Regions from separate parts of the Mus musculus genome. Here all the other regions are reported to be linked to region 1. The links are microRNA targets in miRTarBase. Many come from high-throughput screens and were not tested one by one. Region 1 holds a microRNA gene; each other region holds the end of a gene's coding sequence.

Region 1 (5,074 bases):
CACACACACACACACACACACACACACACACACACTAATGACTATTTGATCATTGATGGATAAGGACACTAAACATGAAACTGATGCATAGGTTAAAAAATAGCAACTGAATTTCAGCCTACTAATTATGTATTTGCAGAGCTACAGGGAAAAACTTTATTTTCAAATGTTTACAAACTCTCAAGATTTTCTTTTTCTTTTTCTTTTTTTTTTAAACTCATCTATATTTGGAAACTTGCTTGCTTTTTTTCAGATGCAGTCACTTAGGGATCAGTGGGATTTGAATACTGAATTAAAAGTCTACTAACAAATCAGACAAAAGAATCCAGGCATCAAAACTGTGCCTTCCTTGGCTGCCTATGAACAAGGAGGCTGCATTGCATGTGAAAATGGCAAGGAAACTTGAGCTTCAGCCCCCCTTTGTATGTTGCTATACTATAAACTCATCCAAACATGACAGCTTGCAAGGTCATTTGCATATTTAAAATATATTCGTTCAAGGTTAGCACGTGTACCAGCATGCCATTTTGAAGATGAGTTTAAGGTAAGCCCCACCTTTTCTAATTTCATTAATAATTAATTTTTACTGTAATTCCCCTGAGATACTCCTTGGGAGATTCCTCCTTGGGAGATTATGAAATGACTTAAGAATATGTCTACGCTTCTGTTGTGTCAGTGGAAGACTGAAATGTTTAGGAATTTTAAACTGAGAGTGATATTGATCTCGAGAATCCTAAAGGAAAATATAATCATATTAAGATCTGGCAAAATTCCAAATGGTCTCCTTTATGGATTCTAAAATGCTTTAAACATTGTCATGTAGAAAAAAATAAGTCCAGTTCCCCTTGAAAGAGATCTAAACCTAAAAACACAGGTATCACAATATTGTTAGAGGCACACAACGGAGACAAAGGAAAACTACTATTTCATTAGTGTGCAGTAAATGGCTAAGTTGAGTAATGATTTTTATTTCTAAAAAGAATGTGAAGTTGACAGTAATTTAGCAAACAATAAGAGAGAGAGAGAGAGAGAGAGAGAGAGAGAGAGAGAGAGAGAGAGAGAGAGAGAGAGAGAGAGAGAGAGAAACAAGCAGGGGTTAGTCTATGAACTTGGAACAGTGACTTGCTACTTCAAAATTAAAATGTACAAATAAGCTGGTGTCAGAGGAGAGGTGATCCCTCATTTCCAATACACTGAGCAAGCTCACATGGGCAGCAGACAGCTCTTAATGTATGCGTCTGGCTCAGGCTGCTCTCCCAATCCAGAAGCCATCAGATTGCTAATATCACTGCGTTTTGTATGCAAACCACATCATCTTCTCACTCTTTGTTGTTTATCTTTTTGTTTATTTTAAGCTTAGAATGATCTGGTTTTCCAAGTCACATTATGAATCCACAGAACTGCATTATCTGGTGACAGCTGAGAGAGAAATGCAGAGATAGTCACATCCATTCACACACAACATAAAGTAGCTTATGAAACAAAGTCTGATGTACACACACACACACACACACACACACAGACACACACACACACACACACACACCTTTATAGCATAAGACTTGTTTGTGAGTAGTATTCTCACACAACACATGCTTTGCACAGAGAATGTTCAAAATTGCAAGATACATGATGTATATCATATATGATATATGTGATGTTCAGGAGAAGTGAAATTTATTTTAGCATTTTTTTCTCCTATAAAATCTAAGTTAATATATACTACTGTTCATTATCATAGCATAAACAGAAAACCTTTACATTTAAATTTTTTGCTATCATAGCTGACTACTATTATTCCCTAGTTCATTGTGGATTTCAACTGATGAAGTAACACTTGCATATCGTTTATGATTATCATAAAACAGGTGTTAGTAAACACACTCCTCTCTGATCATCTGTGTAAAGCTTCTGTTAAATAGAATCAAGCTTGTGTGATGCTCACAGATACACATACATAGAGTTCTTTGTGATTAAAGAAAAGTTCTGACTTTATATTTACTCCTTTCACATGGAGTCGTAAAACATGCTTATATACACACTTAGATTTTAAAGCTTCTAGATAAATGACAGGGGTGAGGCCAGGAAAGAATCTAAAAAGATTCTTTGTGTTGATACGACATCAACACAAACTTCAACGTAGTCTGTGTTTATGATACTATTATATTATTTTTAGGAAACAATAAAGATGCTTTGCATTTTTTTGATATTTCAAGTAATGAGCAATAGTAACAACCTTAACAAAAACAGAACAAAGACTCCACATGATATCCTAAAATAGATTCATAGGTTTATTTACTAATGGAGAAAACAATTTACGGTGAAACATCAGAGTTAAAACACCAAAGTCACTCTTGCCTGTGTTATGAAAGCCACCTTGTTTTAAGCCTAAATTTCTGCAATGTTACTGTATATTTGGAATAGATTTATTGATTATAGATCAAAAAAAACACATGTTTAATGTATCATTGACTAATAAGTCACACAGGCTATGGATGGAATATTTACTTCTGGTAATGAAAATTCTGATCAAAGCCTGCATCTCAGACGTGTTTTACATGTGAACAAGAGCAGCTGAGTTCATAGGCATTCTCTAATGCTTTATAACACACACAAAGTGAAATGTAGAAATTCAAAAGCACTGTATTTTCCCTAAATATATACTTTGTGAATCTCAGAATAAGGCAGTTGTTCATACATATATACTGTTATGTGTGGGCAAAAGACTAAGGAAACACTGGCTAAAATTACCATGTATAAAACAATATTCTCTCATATTAGTATCAACAAGAATAAGATCAATAAAGAAAACTGTAAATCGTTTCTTTTTCAGGCCTCGAGTATGATTAGAATCTCATTTGACGTAGTCTAAGCCACAGTTCTATGGAAGCATGCATAATTTATTGAAATAACTAATGTATATAATTCTACGCATACAAAAACTTATGAATATAAACAACTCTTACAATGAATCTTCTTCATCTTAAAACACACCCAAAGCGATGTTTATTTTTTTAAAAAGAACTTGTGTTTTAATTCTACTTCTTGTACATATCTCTTACAACACTTTTATACGATAATCACAGTAAATACAAACGCTATTTCTATTCTACTGTGCCATATCTTTAGAGTACCGATTCTGAAGATTGTATTTTGGGGGTGTTGTCATGGTGAAACCCTTGCTGATTAGAAAGAAAACCATTGTTCTTTGCGCCTATGCAGAATCTATGCCTGTTCTTTTGTTCTGGTGGTTTATGCCGAGAATCAATAAGGTCCCAAGCTGCTGGTATCCCTCCGCCTAGGTCCCAAGAACCTGACTTGTGATGTTACTAAAATACCTCACAAGTTAGGGTCTCAGGGACTAGGCAAAGTCTCGTGTGATGCAGGAGAATTCTTCTTCCAGGTAAACGGACAGCTTGGGAATTAGAGTTGGGTTCATTTATTTTTAATCTTCTAAATACTAATTGAAACACACAGACAGAAACATAAGTAACACATGAAAGTCAAAGATGAGCTGAATAATCAGGACGGCCACCTATAGATCAGAACTTACAGTAATGTGGGGCATGAAAAACAAAGCAGACAATGGACATTTAAGAATCACCCCATTCTATCCAAAGAAGGAGACAAAAATGGGTTAAAATATGCTCCTTGCAGATTTTTACAGCAACACCCACTTCTATTACACTAAAAAAGGATTATATGCCAGTTAATGGGGCCCTAATTGATATTTTGCTTCTATTGAAGTTTTATATATCACAACTGTTACTGTGGGCCCAGGATATACAACACTTCAAACTCTCATTTAAATTATTACAGATAAGATTTAAACAAAAACTTTGAATATGTCATAATTTAATACCTATTAATGTTGATTTTTCTCTTTAAATATGCAAACTATTCAGACAGCAAATATTTTCATGCACACTTCATAGTTATTTGAACAAGACCACCTAACAAGCTTTAACTTAAAATCCTGGCAACATAGTAAGAAAACAAAAAAAGATCCTTTACTTTGAATAATTACATTATATAGTTCAATACTTTTGAAAATACACAGTCTCAATCCTGACTATTCATCAAATTCTCTCCCATCTTTTCGCCTTGTTGTGAAAGAGCAGAATCTGGACTTTAGGAATGATCCAAGGTTTAGTAGCACAGAATGCAGGGCAAAACAATCACACTTAGCACAGCATAAAACTCCTGGCCACAGAAGTGGAATCTGGTTCTTCAGAAGTGGTTGATCTTAAAAGGGAAAAGCAGGGGGGTTAGAAAAGGAGAGAGGGGGAGAGAGAGAGAGAGAGAGAGAGAGAGAGAGAGAGAGAGAGAGAGAGAGAGAGAGAGAGAGAGAGAAATGGAATGATTTAGAGTGTTTTCCTCTAGGCAGGTGAACCATCCATTTCCAGGAAGCTGCAAGGAAAGCTATGCTGAACAAAATATTTGCTAAGTGTTCCCCTCCCCCACCCTAGTACCACACCCCTTTCTAACCACCACCCCCCTTCACCCCTGCCCAGATCTTTACTTTGCCTTGTAAGACTTAAGCATTCTGTTCCGTGATGTAATGCATCATTATATAAGATCTCTTTCTGTTTATCATTTGATTTCCCATACTGAATCACTTATGGCCCCAAATAAATAGTTTTATAGAAGAAAAAAAAAAGATAAAACCAAAACCAAAAGAAACAACCAAAAAGCAGCATTCACAAAAAGCAAAGAGGAAAAAAAATAAAATTAAATAAAACAAAACAGTACTTAGATAAAAGTCCATGCTTTTTCCTTAAAACTGAATATGGCTTTACAATTTTTGACCATAGCATTCAACCAATTATTAGAATGAAAAATCTCACCCCTCCATAAATATGACATTAACATAATTATACCACCCCCATCACGGAGACCCATCCTCCTTAGGGAATACATCTGATGCTCCAAAGATGGAAATCAGTCAGATTTTAGTTGCTCTCCAACGTACCTTTGCTTCTCACTGACTGACTGGCTTTTACCCTCCACGCACTCACACGCCACCCCCTCCCCTCGGCTAGACACGGATGCCCGAGCGAGCACGCGCGCGCGC
Region 2 (5,074 bases), not on the chromosome of region 1:
TTTCCTGGCAGGGTGTGGTCTTCGGGATTGAGTGGAATGACGTGTATGAGTGACGTCACTGTCAAACCAGCAAGACCGCATTGGTGCACCCTTCACATTCACTTCACTGGTGATCACACCCAGGGTTGTATATAATGGGGATGATGGATTCTTTTTCACACCAAGTATAGGCAGGCAAAAGGTGGCTTTTAGCCCAGGGTACGTGACATGGGCTTTTTAAAAACGTAGACCCATAGGCCTAATGAATCTTTCATACTTAGGTGGTTTTCTTGTAAAGCCATCACCAACAAAACAGACGTTAGTAACCGTTCTCTTCCATGCCCTCTTTTTCCTTTTTCCTGTTTGAATAACTTTCAATACTTCTGTTTCTCTTTGGGCACGAACTTTGGGAGAGGGACCTTCCATTTTCCCACCTTTCCTTTTTGTTTCTGCTTAATCCTGTTGGGAAGTACTTCTGCTCTGGACTGCCCCTCTCTGTCCAGCAGACAGGCGGGGACTGCTCCCTGTGGAGTCTTCCCATCATCCCTCTCTCTGCTTGGTGTTTCTCTTTTCATGCATCTTAATAGTTTTTTTTCACTTGTATTTTTTGGGCATGGCGCTGTTTTATGGTAAAGCTTTGCCTTCTTTGAATGCTCATGGGCCTCCCAACCTTTCTTTCTTTCTCTTTTTCTCATGGTAGTCCGAACGATATCCATATTGTTTGCGGTGCAATACAGTATATTCATTTTGTGGCATGATGACAGCCACTGAACAGCTGTCTGTGACCTCCCAGGTCCCAAAAAACTCTTTAATTTCTGGGTGTCACTGGTCCACGAGCCTGCCTCTATAGGTGATTTTTATATTTATAATGAAGTTGAATGCTTCTAGCTTTGAAACTTAACATTTATGTTGCCATGATAAATTTTTACAAATGTTTTAACAGAACTTAAGCATATTGGATTGGAGAATAACTTTAAATCACTAGACATGTTGTAAATTTTAAGATGAGGTACATTTTTTTCTAGAATAATTCTTTAGAATTAATGGTCCATGAATTTTCTAAGGTTTAATCAAGTCTTGAACTTTCAGGTTTTGTTAAGGCATAACACATAGGATCCATCATCCTTTAAAGATCTGCTTTCTGTACCAAATTCTAATGTATCTCTCTTTTTTCTTCTTCTTTTTTTCCCTCTTACCCAGTAGTTCACTACTGGGTTATCTCAAGCAAGCAAGCAAGCAAACAAACAAACAAAACCAAGTAGGCAGCAGGCACCTGTGAGCCAATAGAGTTCTCCCTGTAGCCTGCAGCCACAGAGCCCGAGGGCCAGCAGGCAGTGGATGAGAATTGTCAGAGAGCTTCTAGCCGTTCAGCTGAATTTCTACACACTGGGTCCTAACAAAGGCAAGGAGTCCCTCACCGTCTTAGCACTGACTCTAGAGTCTGAGTCTAGGCAGTAAAGCCCGTCACAGCTTTGGCTCCTTACTGCTAGCAGAAAGGTGATCTGTGGCTCCGCGCAGATCTTTGGGGTTTCTTCTCATCATCCTGGACACCCACAAATGTAGAACCAGAGGAAAAGGCAGCTACTTTATGTCAGAGAAGCCTTGACCTCCCCAGGTGACAATTCTGCTTTTCATGATTCCCCTTCTGTCAAGTACTGAAGACAACTTAGAGCAAAGTTTGGTTCCTGCCAGCTCTTTATTAGGGAGTGTCTGAAAATTACCATTTCACTGTGTGTGGGGGGTGTATGTTAGCATGAACACAATCTGAGAATCACATCTATGCTAACACCAATATATGTGAAGCAAGTATCTGTTAATGGGAGCGTATCCTACTGCTTGGGAATCACACATCCTCACACAAATGTCTGGTGCAGGTGCTCTTAGCATTCTCATGAGGCAAAGAACACAGTTAGTGCAATAAATGGTAAAATCATGATCTTATTATGTACTAAATTTGAATGTTTAATTTAGAAAAAAAGGAAATATGTAATTTAGTGACCACTTCTGTTATCATTTGTACCATAAAGTCAATGAGATATCACTGCAGTTTCTAAAATATTTTGTATAATTCTCAGATCTAAGTTTTAGAAGAACAAAGACTATGCTGATTTGAAGAGTCTTTTAGAGTACTGGTCACAGATTATTTAAAGTTTTTTTTTTAAAAAGGTGATTAATACTATACTTTTAGTGTATTACATTAGTCATGAAATAGATTTTAAGCTTTGATATATTAGTTGTAAAAATCAATGTCTAATATGCTTATGAATTCTGTTATTTGTACCTTTCAGAGGGGGCAAACTCCAAAGATAGGTTATGGTCATATTTTAGCTTTTTAGTTCCTCTGAGCCTCCCTCAGAAGGTGGAAGAAGAAAGCTCATTTTGTCATGTCCTGTCTAATTTAACTTACAAGTGTGTAGACTTTAGCGACGCTTCCTAAACTCAAAGCTTTGGCAGGACTGACCTGGCCACCTAGCTCTCAGGCTGCTTCTGAGCGGGCTCAGGGAGGGACCTCAAGGTTACGTCTAAATTGTAAGTAAGTGTTGGCTGGTGATGATACTGGCTTCTGCATCCACCAGGAGTTGGTGACACTGGGCACACCCTGAGGTCACCACAGTTCTTCAAGTTGAGCAAACTATTGACTAAACTTGGCCAAAATTCAAGTCTGCTGAAACATGTTCAAAGTTTATTCTTAAATAACTATGCAAAATAGCCCTCTAATACAGACTGCAAAATGAGAGAACTTGCAATTACACTTTTATTTTAAAACATACATTTTTTATGCCTGTCATCTTTACAATAATACATATTGAGATCTTATAAGATTTTAAATCATTGAAAATTTTACTATATACAAATAAAAACAAATATCTAAAATGTGGCAATATTTATCAAATCTATAAAAATATTTAATTTCCAGTATAAAAACACCAACTAAGCGAGGTAAGGCAAGACTGATTTTGACCATTTACGAAGGAAATGGATTTGTCATGGCTTTTTGTATGTGTGTGTGTGCTGAGGACTAAACCCAGGGTCCGAGGCATTCTACTGCTGTGCCTTCAGCTCTATTCTATTTTGTGACAAGGTCTCACTAAGGTGCCCAGGCTGGCCTTGAACTCACCCCATACTCTAAGCTGGTACTGACCTTGAAAACCTGTGCCTCAGCTCACGAGTAGTTGACTTTTTAGACCTGTCCCACAGTAAGCAAGATGAGAATGGTAAAGAGCCTGGCACCTGTGGTGGCACGCATGTCGTCACTGGCACCTGTGGTGGCACGCATGTTGTCACTGGCGACGCTGCAGCACTGTGAGAAGCTTCCTGGAGACAGCACAGAAAGCGGAGGCTGGCTAAACCAGCTTAGGGAAGAGGAAGGCCTAAAAGCCAAGCCAGCTGTGGAGGCATGCCTCTGTGGTCCCAACACTCCGGGGGAGTGGGGAGTGATCAAGAGTTCATGGTCACCCCGAGCTACAGAGATTCACAATGTGGTAAGAGGCTAGGGTGATAGCTCAGTTTGTGAAGCGTCTGCCATGTCAGCATAAGGACCCAAGTTCAACCCCCAGAGCCCACTTTAGAGAACTGGGGGTAGAGATGGAAGCTTGTGCTCCGGTCTTAGGAGAGAGAGGCAGGGGTGTGGGTCACTAGGATGTGGACTGCCAGGCAGACTAATTAAGGGCACCAGGTCACTGAGACCCTGTCTCAAAAACCAAAAACAAAAACAAGTCACGGTGGACAGCGCCTGAGGAATGATACCCAAGGCTGACCTCTGTCCTCCATGTGTACATGCACACGTGTGTGTGTGTGTGTGTGTGTGTGTGTGCGCGCGCGCGCACATCCTCACACACAAACCCAGAAAAAGGAAAACAAACAGAGTTCCTATCTAGCTCGTTTCACTGAAGACTGTTCCGACTCATTATCAACATCCCTTTATATTATTTATATTATCAACATCCCTTTAGCCCTTGAAAGTTCTTTGAGGTAGAGAACTGGCTCAGAGCCCTGCTAGGAACAGACAGTGAATGGCCAGAGCTAAGGCTGCTCTTGAGGGAGAGAAAAGAACTGTGGATTTCTTAAACCATGGGGTCCTGCCAGCTCTTGTTGCAGAGACCAAGCCACTCCTCATGCCACTGAGTGCTGATGTCGTCATCCTGGATTTTATCCCATAGGAAACAGGTTCTTTAATCAATTTAAACTTGACACGACAATTCAATGCAACTCAATACAACGTCATATAAATGCCAGCTAAATAACACTAAGATGGAAAAAAAAGATTTTCTTTAAAAACACTGAGAATATTCCAGATGTTTAGCTGTTTTATCTTGAAGTATCCTTGCAAAGAATTGACGGTTAGCTTTGCCCTTGGGGAAGAAAAACGTTAGGGGAATGAGTTGTTTTAAAGAGAAATGTGTCTCCACTTGATGACTGCCTTGAAGGAGCTTTTCCACCCAAAAGTGATGTCTCTGCTTCTTTTATCTCCATTGCCCTTTTGTACAGTTCAGCAGCCTTTTCAAAATTCCCTTCTTCATAGCTTTGAGAGGAAACAACATGAGAGATGCACTGCTATTAACAAGAAACTCTTGCTTCTAAGTAGCCATCAAGGTGCAGAAAAACAAGTTGCAACTCATTTGCCATTCCCACTGCACTCTTTTCTTTCTTTTTTTAAAAAAAATTTTATTAGATATTTTCTTCATTTACATTTCTTTTTTTCCAATATTTTATTAAGTAGTTACTTCATTTACATTTCAAATGCTATCCCAAAAGTCCCCCATACCCTCCCCCACCCCACCCCACCCCACTCCCCTACCCACCCACTTTCACTTCTTGGCCCTGGTGTTCCCCTGTATTTAAGAAAATACCTAATTAAAAAAAAATAATAAAAAAATGCTAAGTGTTGTTATCACCTGCATTCCGAGATGAACGCACAGGAGTGAGCAAAACTCAACACACACCTAACTCATCAGCTCTGAGGTTAGTACGTAGCCCTGTCACCCCATAGGCAGGAAGTGCTGGTATAGGCTGTCTTCACTACTGTCCACAGTACACGCCTCCAAAAAGTAAGCCTGCTTTCTCTCTGCTTCTGAGTACCACTTGAGTATCTAAA
Region 3 (5,074 bases), not on the chromosome of region 1:
TAAACTTTTTTTTATTTTTATGTACGCGTATGTGTGAATGTAGGCCGAGTGTGTATACATACCCGTGGAGTCCAGAGAGGGTGCTGGATCCCAGCTGTAACTTGTGAGCTTCCCCGTGAGGATCCTGGGAACTGAGTGTGGGTCCTCTTACAGGCAAGCAAGTCCTCTTAACTTCTGAGTCCCCAACATTAGATACTTCTTGTCAGTTTTGAGCTGTCATTTATACTGGTTGCCTAGGAAAACAAATTCCTTTTCAGGGCCGGGTGTGTGGCTCAGTGGAAGAGCAGGCAACTCTTGAGTTCCATAGCGACACCAGAGACTAGAAGAGTGCTCTGGCCAGCGAGCTTTCATCATATGCTATCCCCAGAGACTTGGATTATACCATACAGCTCAGGTTGCTATAGAAACCTCAGATGCTCTCTTGGATGGGATGAAGTTTGCTGGCTTGATAGAGACAAGTGGCTCACCTCTTTGTCCCCCACTCTGCTCTCTTTCAGGAGATTTGTACACCCAGGCAGCTGAGGCAGCAATGGAAGCCATGAAGGGCCGGCTAGCCAACCAGTACTACGAGAAGGCGGAAGAGGCCTGGGCCCAGATGGAGGAATAACTGCCCCACAGAATCACTGCCAAGGAGAAAGGCTGGGGAAGGGAGGATGGGACTCATTTCTAGGGAGGGGAGAAGCAGTTTTATTATGGTATAAACTCACTTTTGTATTCCGTTTTCTCACTCTTGATAGCCTTTGCAGCTGGCCGAGACATTATAACTGCCCTTTTAGTGGTGGTACTTTGGGGGAAGTGGGGGGTTGAAGATGCAGCCTAATGAGTCTCTTTCCCGTCCTCCACCCCCCGGTTTTCCCTTTTTCATCCTGAGATGTAAGCAAGTATCTTTCTGTCTGGATGATCAGACAGTATCAGGGCTTCTCTCGCCAGCCTTTGCAGGCAGGACTCACATCTCAGGGTCTCCAGGCCATGTGCTGGGAAACCTTTCTATTGGCTTTCCACAATGGGTCTTTCTTTCAGTTTTGAGAGCGGTATGTTGTTTTTTTGTTTGTTTCCTCCAGTGGATGTGAGATGGTTCAATACCCAGGCTCCTTCATGCTGGGGGAGATAGTTGTATAACTTTCACTTAATGCCCTTCCACTGGACATGTGATTCCTGGCATCCTTCTAAATTTTTTTTTTTTAGACCTGCTATGTAATATAGATTTTTCAAAAACAGGTTTGGCCTTTATACATGCGTATTTACTACCTCTGAGTCTTGCATTGGGGGTGTGGAAGCAGCTGTACCTCAAAGCATTCACAGTAAGACCATGGCTTAGGAGCTGGGCAACTTTCCTCCAAACAGAAGTGCCCTCTGTACACCATGGCCACATCCACTACGTGACTGAAGCATCCTTGTGCAGAATTCCATGGCCGTTTGGCCGTTTCTTAATGTGATGTTTCTTGGACTCCGCCCTCAGCCTGCTGTCCTTGTCATTTTCTGCTTGAGACTAGGTTTTCCTTACTTAACACGAGGTCATCTGCAGCAAGCGGCCTCCAGCTGCAGCCCCTTGGGATTTGTCTAAGATGTTTGAGAATGAGGGGACAAGAGTCTAAACACTGACTGGGTTAGGACATTTCCCCAGGGTCAGTCTGGGACTTTGATGAGCTTCCTCTTTAAAAGGAGTTCAGATTTCATGGGAGTGCTATTCCAGCCACAGGGAAATGGCCCGCTTTGATTTGACCACTGATATTAGATCTACCGCCTCTATCTTTGCTTAAAAAACAGAACAGCAGAGTGGGACATGCAAGCCATCCTCACCTGTTGGCTAAAACAGGCCTTTTAAGGATTTCACTATTGAGTTTGCCCAATCAAAAACTTGTAGAAGCAGTAGATTGTAAAGTCTAGGGTGTATGTTCTTTGAGGGAAAAATCAGAGTCAGTTTAACCTTGGGGGCTGGAGGCCATGGTATACATCTGTAATCCCAGCATTCAGGTGGTAGAGGCAGAAGGATCAAAGTTTGAGACCAGCCTAGGCTATGTAATGAGACCCTGCCCCCAAAAAACAAACAAGGAAAAGAGCCAGTTAGATGGCTCATGGATGAAGCTCCTGCCGACCCTCACCTGACAATCTGAGTTCTGTTCTTGGGACCCACGCGTGGAAGCAGGGAACAAACTCCTGCAAGTTGTCTTCTGATCTTCACTTGTGTGCTGTGTCCCGAGAGAGCCCCCATACACACACACACACACACACACACACACACACACACACACACACACACACAAACAACAGTAAGAGAAATGAGATAGCAAAAACTACCCTTGAAAATTCCTTTCATCTACCTGCAAGTTCCAAAATCCCTGGATTTGCATTTGAAGCCATAACTTCTGATTCTCTCTGACAGATTGGCCCTTGTCCGTTTTTTTGTTTTTGTTTTTGTTTTTTAATTAGTACCAGAACAGTAGCTGGTTTGCGTTGTCCTGTGGGTGTTCTAACATAGTGTATATGTTAAACATAAGAAGCAGTTTATTGTGACATAATCTCTCAGAGTAACTGTCATATAAGTTGTGGTGTGTGTGTGTGTGTGTGCTGGTCAGCAGACAACCTCAATTTTGTTCCTCAGGAGCTGGCCACCTTTTTCCATTGAGTCTCTCACTGGCCTAGAACTTGCCAAATAGGCTCTGCTGGCTGACCAGTGAACTCCAGAGATCTGTCTGTCTTATCCTTTCTAATTCTGGAATTGTAAACTCGAATCCTTCACTCATTGATTAGTCCTTGTCTGGATCACTTAAAGCCTCAGGCCTGCAGTTCCCCCAACCACGTGGCCTTCATGTGGAGAAGTGGTCTCTTTCTCCTCCAAGAGACTGGGATAGCCTGGTGCACAGCTAAGCAAATGCCTCTTTAAGGACCCTTGCGAATGAAAAGAGAGCTTGGAGAGCCTGCTGGGTAATATTGCCACTTGGAGGCTGAAGCAGGATTGTGAGTTTGGAGCCAGCCTGGGCTATTTACTAAGACTGTGTCTCAAAAAGAAAAAGCCCTGGAAACTGGAGAGATGCCTCAGTGGTTAAGATCATTGGCTGCTCTTCCAGATGACCCAGGTTCAATTCCCAGCACCCACATGGCAGCTCACACCTGTCTGTAATTCCAGTTTTAAGGATCCGATGCTCTCCCACAACCATGCAGGCCAAACGCCGATGGACATAAAAATAAATCATAAAAAAAAAAAATAGTTCAAACCTGTAATCTCAGCACAGCACTTGGGAGGCTAAAATGGAAGGGTCACTGGGAGTTTTATGCCAGATTGGGCTACATCATGACTTCCACATAAGCCTAAGTTACAGAGTGAGATTCTGTCTTTAAAATTAATGGCTGTTTCTCCTTCCAAACTTAGTCTTAGACCTTCAAAAGCTGGTCAGGGCATCTTCTCTTTCCATATAGGCTGGGCATGACAAGAACAAGCCGACAGGATTCAGCTCTGGCAGGGAGACGCCAGTGCCTGGCACTGATGATCAGTTCTGTCTTCCAGTGCTCAAAGCAGGTAACAGCCTCGATTAACAGAGCTGATATGCGTGCTTTCATCTCAGAGACAGAAACCAGGCTACAGTGGTGCTGTTCCTTGAGGCTGAGCTGGAGCTAGGGGCCAGAGAGCTGCTGTTTCCAGAGCACTCTAGGAATAAAGACATTTAACTGTACTGTGATGGCGCATTCCATTTTGCAACAGGTATCAGGGAAATTTCAATGAGACAGGATTAGAGTATGTGCTTAGCATACAGCCAAGGTCCTGGGTCTGGGCCCCAGCACTGCAAGGAAAATATACAAGCTTTATGAGTGTAAAAAAGAAACATTCTCCAACTCACTACTTCAGAAGAATCCTGCTCTCTGCACGCTGGGCCAGCCTTGGCTACTTAGTGATTTCCCCATCTGTCCTTGCTGACCGTCATCCCAGCATCTTTGTATCAGTAAGTGTGGTTTGCAGATTCACAAACGTTTGCACAGGTCTGTGCAGCTCGAGATGGAAGTGAATCGGGGGCGGGGGGAGGGTACAAATTTACCCATTCCCTGCTTGGATTTGTGCCTCTTCCTTAACGTTTTGTCTCTGACCTCAAGGCAACTGGCTGAAGTGTGGCTGCAATTGTGTGTGTATCAGATTTTAGCTTCTCTTCCCCAACAGTTTGGGTTTTTTTCTGAAATATCTCAAACTCACACATTCCCCCTCCCTATGAAAACATACAAATCAAGAAATGAGTATGTATCTACATGGAGGCTGAAGTGAGCCGCAGCGTGCATGGATCGAAGAGCGGATGTGCTCACCTTCAACATGAGCTCCATCGCCCACAGTGTGGGCCCAACGTGGTCCCATGCTGGCTTTTCACAGTAGAAAAACTTCTTAATATGATAGCCATTGGTTTTTAACATCTGTAATAAATTCCAATAAAGAAAGCCTTTCCGACCTGGCCCTTACGCTATCAGTTTGCTTTAGAGTAAAATAGTGGATGCAGGGGCTGGAGAGATGGCTCAGCAGTTAGGAGCACTGACTGCTAATTACAGAGGACCTGGACTCCACTCCCAGCACCCACATTGGCAGCTCATAACTGTAACTCCAGTTCCAGGGGATCCGACATCCTCACCCAGAAATGCATGCAAGCAAAACACCAGTGCACATAAAATAAAATAGAATCAAAATGTGGATGCTTTTGATTTGTCCCGCTATAAAACAGTCATTCCCTCTGCAGGTTTGTCATGAGCTGCTGAGAAAATCCTGCGCACTTGGTGCTTTGAAGCTCGTGGAGAGCTGCAGAGCTGTCTGGCGTGGGCATTTGGATTCAAGATAATTGTTTGTTTGGTTGGGTTTAAAGAAATTTGAGTTTTAACTCCATGACAGTAGATCATGTACATTTAAGTCAATATCCCCAATGATAGGAGATTTTAAAAAATTGTTTTTGAGACAAGCTCATAAAGATGAAGCCAAAGGTGTGAACAACAAAAGTCTGGAGATAGGGAAATGCATGGCCAAGAACCCTGGATCCAAAATCCAGGGTTTGGGGGCTTCATTGACTAACCCCAGCACTGCAGAAGCTGGAGAAGGGAGATTCTG
Region 4 (5,074 bases), not on the chromosome of region 1:
TTTTATTTCCTCACTGCAGACTTTGGCCATTTATGATCGGTTTGGCAGATTGATGTATGGACAGGAAGATGTGCCCAAGGATGTCCTGGAATATGTGGTGTTTGAAAGACACTTGATGAACCCGTATGGGAGCTGGAGAATGCATGCCAAGATTGTGCCCGCGTGGGCACCCCCTAAGCAGCCCATCCTCAAGGTAAAGAAGGCTGCTTGCACGCTCTAAGAGCAAACTTGAAGCTGTATGTAGATAGCCTTGTCAAGCTCAAACGCTCTTCTTAGGCTCCACCTAGTGGCGAGACGGAGTGATGCAGCTCTAGGGAAGGGGAACTTTCCCTGGATGCTGCTGCGGGAGGAGGACATCCTGGGTAAACAGTAGGTGGGATTGGTAGGTAACTTGAGTTCCTCCTGTTCTTTTCAGACCTTGATGATTCCTGGTCCTCAGCTGAAACCCTGGGAGGAGTACGAAGAGACTCAAGGGGAGGCCCAGAAGCCTCAGCTAGCCTGATGGCGTTAATGACTCCTGAGGAGCCTAGCAGTTGTGGTGAACATCTTTAATCCCAGCACTCAGAAGGCAGAGGCAGGTGGATTTCTGTGAGTTCAAGGCCAGTCTGGTCTACAGAGCAAGTTGCAGGACAACCAGAGCTACACAGAGAAACCCTGTCTCAGGAAAAAAAAACAAAAAGAAAAAAGACAAAAAGACTCCTGAGGTGTTCCGATGGGGCTGCAAAGTCACCTGTACCCACCTGTACCCCGAAGGCTTCCCGTGCTGTCTCCTGTCCTGCCTGGGTCAGCAGTCCCCCAAGCCCCTCACAGTCATGGCTGATTGTGTGGCCAGGTGGTGGCTGGGGTGCCCCGCCTTGGAGCATCTTCTGTTTACAGCCATGTTCAGCTTCTGAGGTGAAATGAGAAGCAGCAGCAGAGAGAACAAACGCGACACTGGGCTTTTCCCAGCAGCAGCAAGCTGTGGCATCAGACCCACAGCTTTCTTTTTTCTAATTATAGGCCGAGTCAGCATTTGGAATAAAATACTGTCAAAGAGTTGGATAAACTGTGTGTTCTGTACATTTTCCCTGGTTCAGACTGGGACGGAGCGGTTCTGTGATGTCAGGCATGGGAAAGCAGTATAGTTATAAGTGATGCGGCTTCCAGGAACTCTAGATGGGAAGACCTTAGAGTGTCTACAAACTAGGGCACCCTGCTACAGTCCTGCCACGTGGGAAGTTGGGGCAAGAAGAGGACCAGGAACTAGATGCCATCCTTGGCAACACACAGTTTAAAAGTCACTTAATCTTATATGCCTGAGTGTTCTGTCTGCACCTGTGTTTATGTACTACACGCATGGCTGGTGCCCTTGGAGGTCCAAAGAGGGTGTCAGATCCCCTGGAACTAGAGTTACGGATGGTTGTGAACCACCACAGGTGCTAGGAACTGGATCTGTGTCTTCTGCAAGAGCAACAGGTATTCTTTTTTTTTTTTTTGAGATGTATTTATTTTATGTGTGTGAGTGCACCGTCACTGTCTTCAGACACACCAGAAGAGGATCCCATTACAGATGGTTGTGAGCCACCATGTGGTTCCTGGGACTTGAACTCGGGACCTTTGGAAGAGCAGTCAGTGTTCTTACCCACTGAGCCATCTCCAACCTGTAACAAGTATTCTTAGCTACTGAGCCATCTTTCCATCCCAGAATACTACTTTAAAAGATCTCTTTAATATAGATGTTTTAATTTTTTTTTCTTCAGGTTTCTCTGTGTAACATCCCTGTAACTTGCTTTGTATACCAGGCTAGCCTCCCTTATAGAGATCTGCCTCCCATCCTCCCTCCCCCTTTGCCTGAGATTAAAGGAGTGCTACACCATACCCAGCTTAAAATTACTTTATCTTATTTTATATATAAATCAAAGTGGGGGGGATTGGTCTTTAGCTTCCCCACTCCCACCCCTGCCACAGACAGAGTTTCTCTGTGTAATAGCCCTCTGTCCTGGACCAGGCTGGCCTTGAACTGAGGAATCTGCTTGCCTCTGCCTCTTGAGTGCTGGAAGTAAAGGTGTGCACTAACAAGCCTGACCGTTCTTCAGCTTTTATGTATTCTGTTTTGTTTGAGAGAAGGCCTGAAATTTGATAAATGTAGCCCAGGCTTGCCTTAAACATGCAGTGATCCTTCTCATGGAAGGTATGAACTACCATGCCCAGCCTGCATTTTATTTTTAGGTATTGGACTTGTCCCCGCCCAGCTAGACTAGACTACCAAGGAAGAGTACCAGCACTCAGGCAGAGGCAGGTGGATCTATGGGTTCAAGGCTGACCTAGTCTACATGAGGAGTTCCAGGAGAGCCAGGGCTATAGAGTGAGTTTTTTTTTTAAGATTTATTTATTTAATGTATGAGTGCTCTAACTGCATGTACATCTGTGTGTCAGAAGAGGGCATCAGATCCCATTACAGATGGTTGTGAGCCACCATGTGGTTGTTGGGAAATAAGCTCAGAACCTCTAGAAGAACAGCCAGTGCTCTTAACCACTGAGCCATCTCTCCAGCCCAGTGAGATCCTATCTTAAAGAGAAAAGAACACTGTAGGAAGTTTAGGAGGAAGCAAGGACAAGCCAGGGTTCATTCTTAGGGGGAAATCAGTAAGATTCGGTTCTGATTTCTTGTACCTCACAAAGATGCTGGCTATGCCTTCCAGCCCAGGACCAGAGTGCAAGCCAGCGTGCAGTGCAGCAGCCCAGTCCTTGTTCTGCTGGGGCTGCTTGGAGAAGAGGGTCAGGGGTTGATGCTCAGTGTCCTGGGAGATCTGGGCATGACAAGGGGAATCTTACTTTTCCAGCCACAGGCTTGCTTCATAGTGCTTTTGAGTTCTTGTTTAAAAACGGCCTGCTGGAGATACAGCTTAGTAGGTAGAGTGGTTTGGTTTGGTTTGGTTTGGTTTGGTTTCTGTGTGTATGAGGCTCTAGGTTCAACAACACAGGAGAAATGAGAGCCTAAGTTCTCATACTTAATTTTTCTCCAGACTAAAATTTTCTTTGTCACTTCAGGTCAGAGTTAGTCTGTCTAGAGTAGGGTAAAAGAAGCAGGAGTTGGGTCAGAAATAAATGACCTGTCGTTTTTCCAAACCTGCCTTCTCAGAGAAGCTGCAAACAGGAGAGGCCTTAGTGGGGGATGTTATCATCCATTCATCAATGTTATTATTTATCATTTATTTATTTATTTATTAAATGTGCAGGAGTGTTTGAGTGTGAATGTGTGCACGAGCCAACTTTCAGACCGAGGTCAGAGGACAGATTTTGCCTTCTAGTGTGGATTCTAGGAACTGAATTTTTGTTAAGTTGGCACCACAGATAGTTTTACCCATTGAGCAACCTTCCTGGCCCAAGCCTGGTGTTTTCATAACAGCGTGTGTGTGTGTGTGTGTGTGTGTGTCTATTCTGAGGCAGCCAGTCTCACCCTGTTTAGTCTCAACCCTCCAGGCTTAAAATGTGCATCACTTTGCAGCATTACTGTCCAAGTGAGGCTTGGACACATCCTATTTGCCTGAGCCCTGGATTAAGGCAAAATAAGAAGCGCTTTGAGCTGGATCCATAGCCGGGGAGTAAGAAGGAAGGCAGTTAATCCCAGCAGGGAAGAGAAGCAGAGAAACAAAAGAGCTCACTCAATAGGTACATGGTAACATTGATTTCTCTTGAATGTATGAAAAACAGTGATTTAGATGAGCTCTTTCATCCCATGGCCATGGATCTGACTCTGGGTCTCTGGATGGTCCTAAATCTCTGCTAAGCAATAGCTGCCACCAGGAAGCCAAAGGATAAGTGCAATTTCATTTCCTCTGGGACCAAATCCAGTTGAGCAAATGGGCCCAGATGTGAAGGGTTGGCCTGGAGAGCAAGGCAGAGAGCATCTGTTAGCACGGCAGAGAATAAGCTGGACCTACCGCACCCCAAGTCCTATCAGGTACAGGGAGCAGGCCTTGGAGCAGGCACTGCTCTGTCTGCTGTCCCTCTGTTGACAAAGAAAACCACCAGTATCAATAAGCTGGAGCCGACCACAGGAGCCGAGAACAAGCATTCTTTATTATTTTCCTAGGTGGCTATTTATAACAGTAATACGGGGATAACGATGCTCGTCCCAGCTAGAACAGACCCAGTGGGATTGCTCTAGGGTGCACAGTTAGTGAAGTCTACCATAGCTCAGAAGCTGTGGGGTTAAGTAACCACAGCCGCAGAACAATACAGCTGTAGAAACCCAGCGCAGGAGAGCTGGGTAGGTAGGAGGGCTTAGTGTGGGAATGAGGGCCACTGGCCCCCAAAGGAGACCAGGCGACTCTCTTTCAGAAGTGGAGCATTCGGTTGCTTTTCTCTGAGGCTCTGAGTCTGTTCAGCGATTTTGCATGTGGACTCCTGGTTCTCCCACCAGGCATTTGGTCTCATTTGAGGTTTTCTACCTCTTAAACAGCACCTGTATCACTCCGGTTAGAGGGTGGGACTTACACCGTTGTCTTTAATGCCCCTGCCTGCTGGCTCTGCCACATTAGCCTGCTTGTCTTCACCCCCATCTCCCTCTCTCAAGCTGGAACCTCTGTATAAGTTTTTCTCCTTCTTAGTTTCCCATCACATGACACCAACCCTGTCATCTCGCACTGCTTAAGCAAGGTGGCCTAAACTGATTGTGGAGAGGAGAGCCAAGCTGCGGGTGGACGGCTGAGAAAGAGGCTTTGTACTCACGAGGTGCCTTTCCCGGCCCTGGGGAGCGCTACTCTTTCTGATAGTGGTTGGGATTCGGATTGAACAGGCCCTCTATTCTTTCCCAGGCTCCTCTGGGAAGAGATCTGAGTGAGTTAGAGTCAAGTTCTTGCTTGAGAACCAGAGATTCCTCCTTGGCACCAGTTACATTTACTAAAAAGAGGGTCCGCTTGCTGACTACAGAAAGACAAGGAGGAGGAGGCAGTGAGGTGGGGCCTGGACGTGGCAAGAGCTGGGGCAGGAATATGGGAAGAGGCTTCCTGGAGACATCGGGAAGAACACCTTGTCCAGTGTGGGAGGGCCCTGAGAGAGCGTCTCTCCTTCTCTGTTCTCTGTTGTCACT

The links. The annotated mature microRNA mmu-miR-125b-2-3p reads ACAAGUCAGGUUCUUGGGACCU and lies in region 1 at 3,301-3,322, opposite strand. An mRNA with a match to its seed (bases 2 to 7 or 8) in the 3' UTR can be bound and repressed. Matches are read on the target gene's strand: a 7mer-m8 pairs with bases 2 to 8, a 7mer-A1 pairs with bases 2 to 7 and ends in A, and an 8mer does both.
Region 2: the mRNA of Nphp3 is a reported target of mmu-miR-125b-2-3p. Seed matches in the 3' UTR shown: 7mer-m8 at 3,693-3,699.
Region 3: miRTarBase lists Eef2k as a target of mmu-miR-125b-2-3p. The part of its 3' UTR that is shown has no 7-base or 8-base seed match.
Region 4: miRTarBase lists Mrpl45 as a target of mmu-miR-125b-2-3p. Seed matches in the 3' UTR shown: 7mer-A1 at 1,579-1,585.

Annotation. Positions count from the first base shown.
Region 1 is chr16:77,644,566-77,649,639 of GRCm38, reverse strand. Mir125b-2 (microRNA 125b-2) reads right to left here and starts at 3,367; the gene lies at 3,297-3,367.
Region 2 is chr9:104,041,379-104,046,452 of GRCm38, reverse strand. Nphp3 (nephronophthisis 3 (adolescent)) reads right to left here. Exons shown (of 27, transcript NM_028721.3): 27 at 2,642-4,501. The coding sequence ends at 4,321. It also overlaps the pseudogene Gm18998. Among named protein-coding and RNA genes, the nearest start is that of Uba5, 19 kb to the left of the region's middle.
Region 3 is chr7:120,902,785-120,907,858 of GRCm38, forward strand. It overlaps Eef2k (eukaryotic elongation factor-2 kinase), which reads left to right. Exons shown (of 18, transcript NM_007908.4): 18 at 498-4,435. The coding sequence ends at 607. Among named protein-coding and RNA genes, the nearest start is that of n-TLaag4, 12 kb to the right of the region's middle.
Region 4 is chr11:97,328,067-97,333,140 of GRCm38, forward strand. Mrpl45 (mitochondrial ribosomal protein L45) reads left to right here. Exons shown (of 8, transcript NM_025927.4): 7 at 20-193; 8 at 416-1,854. The coding sequence ends at 502. It overlaps Gpr179 (G protein-coupled receptor 179), which reads right to left. Exons shown (of 12, transcript NM_001081220.2): 12 at 4,044-5,074. Among named protein-coding and RNA genes, the nearest start is that of Mrpl45, 15 kb to the left of the region's middle.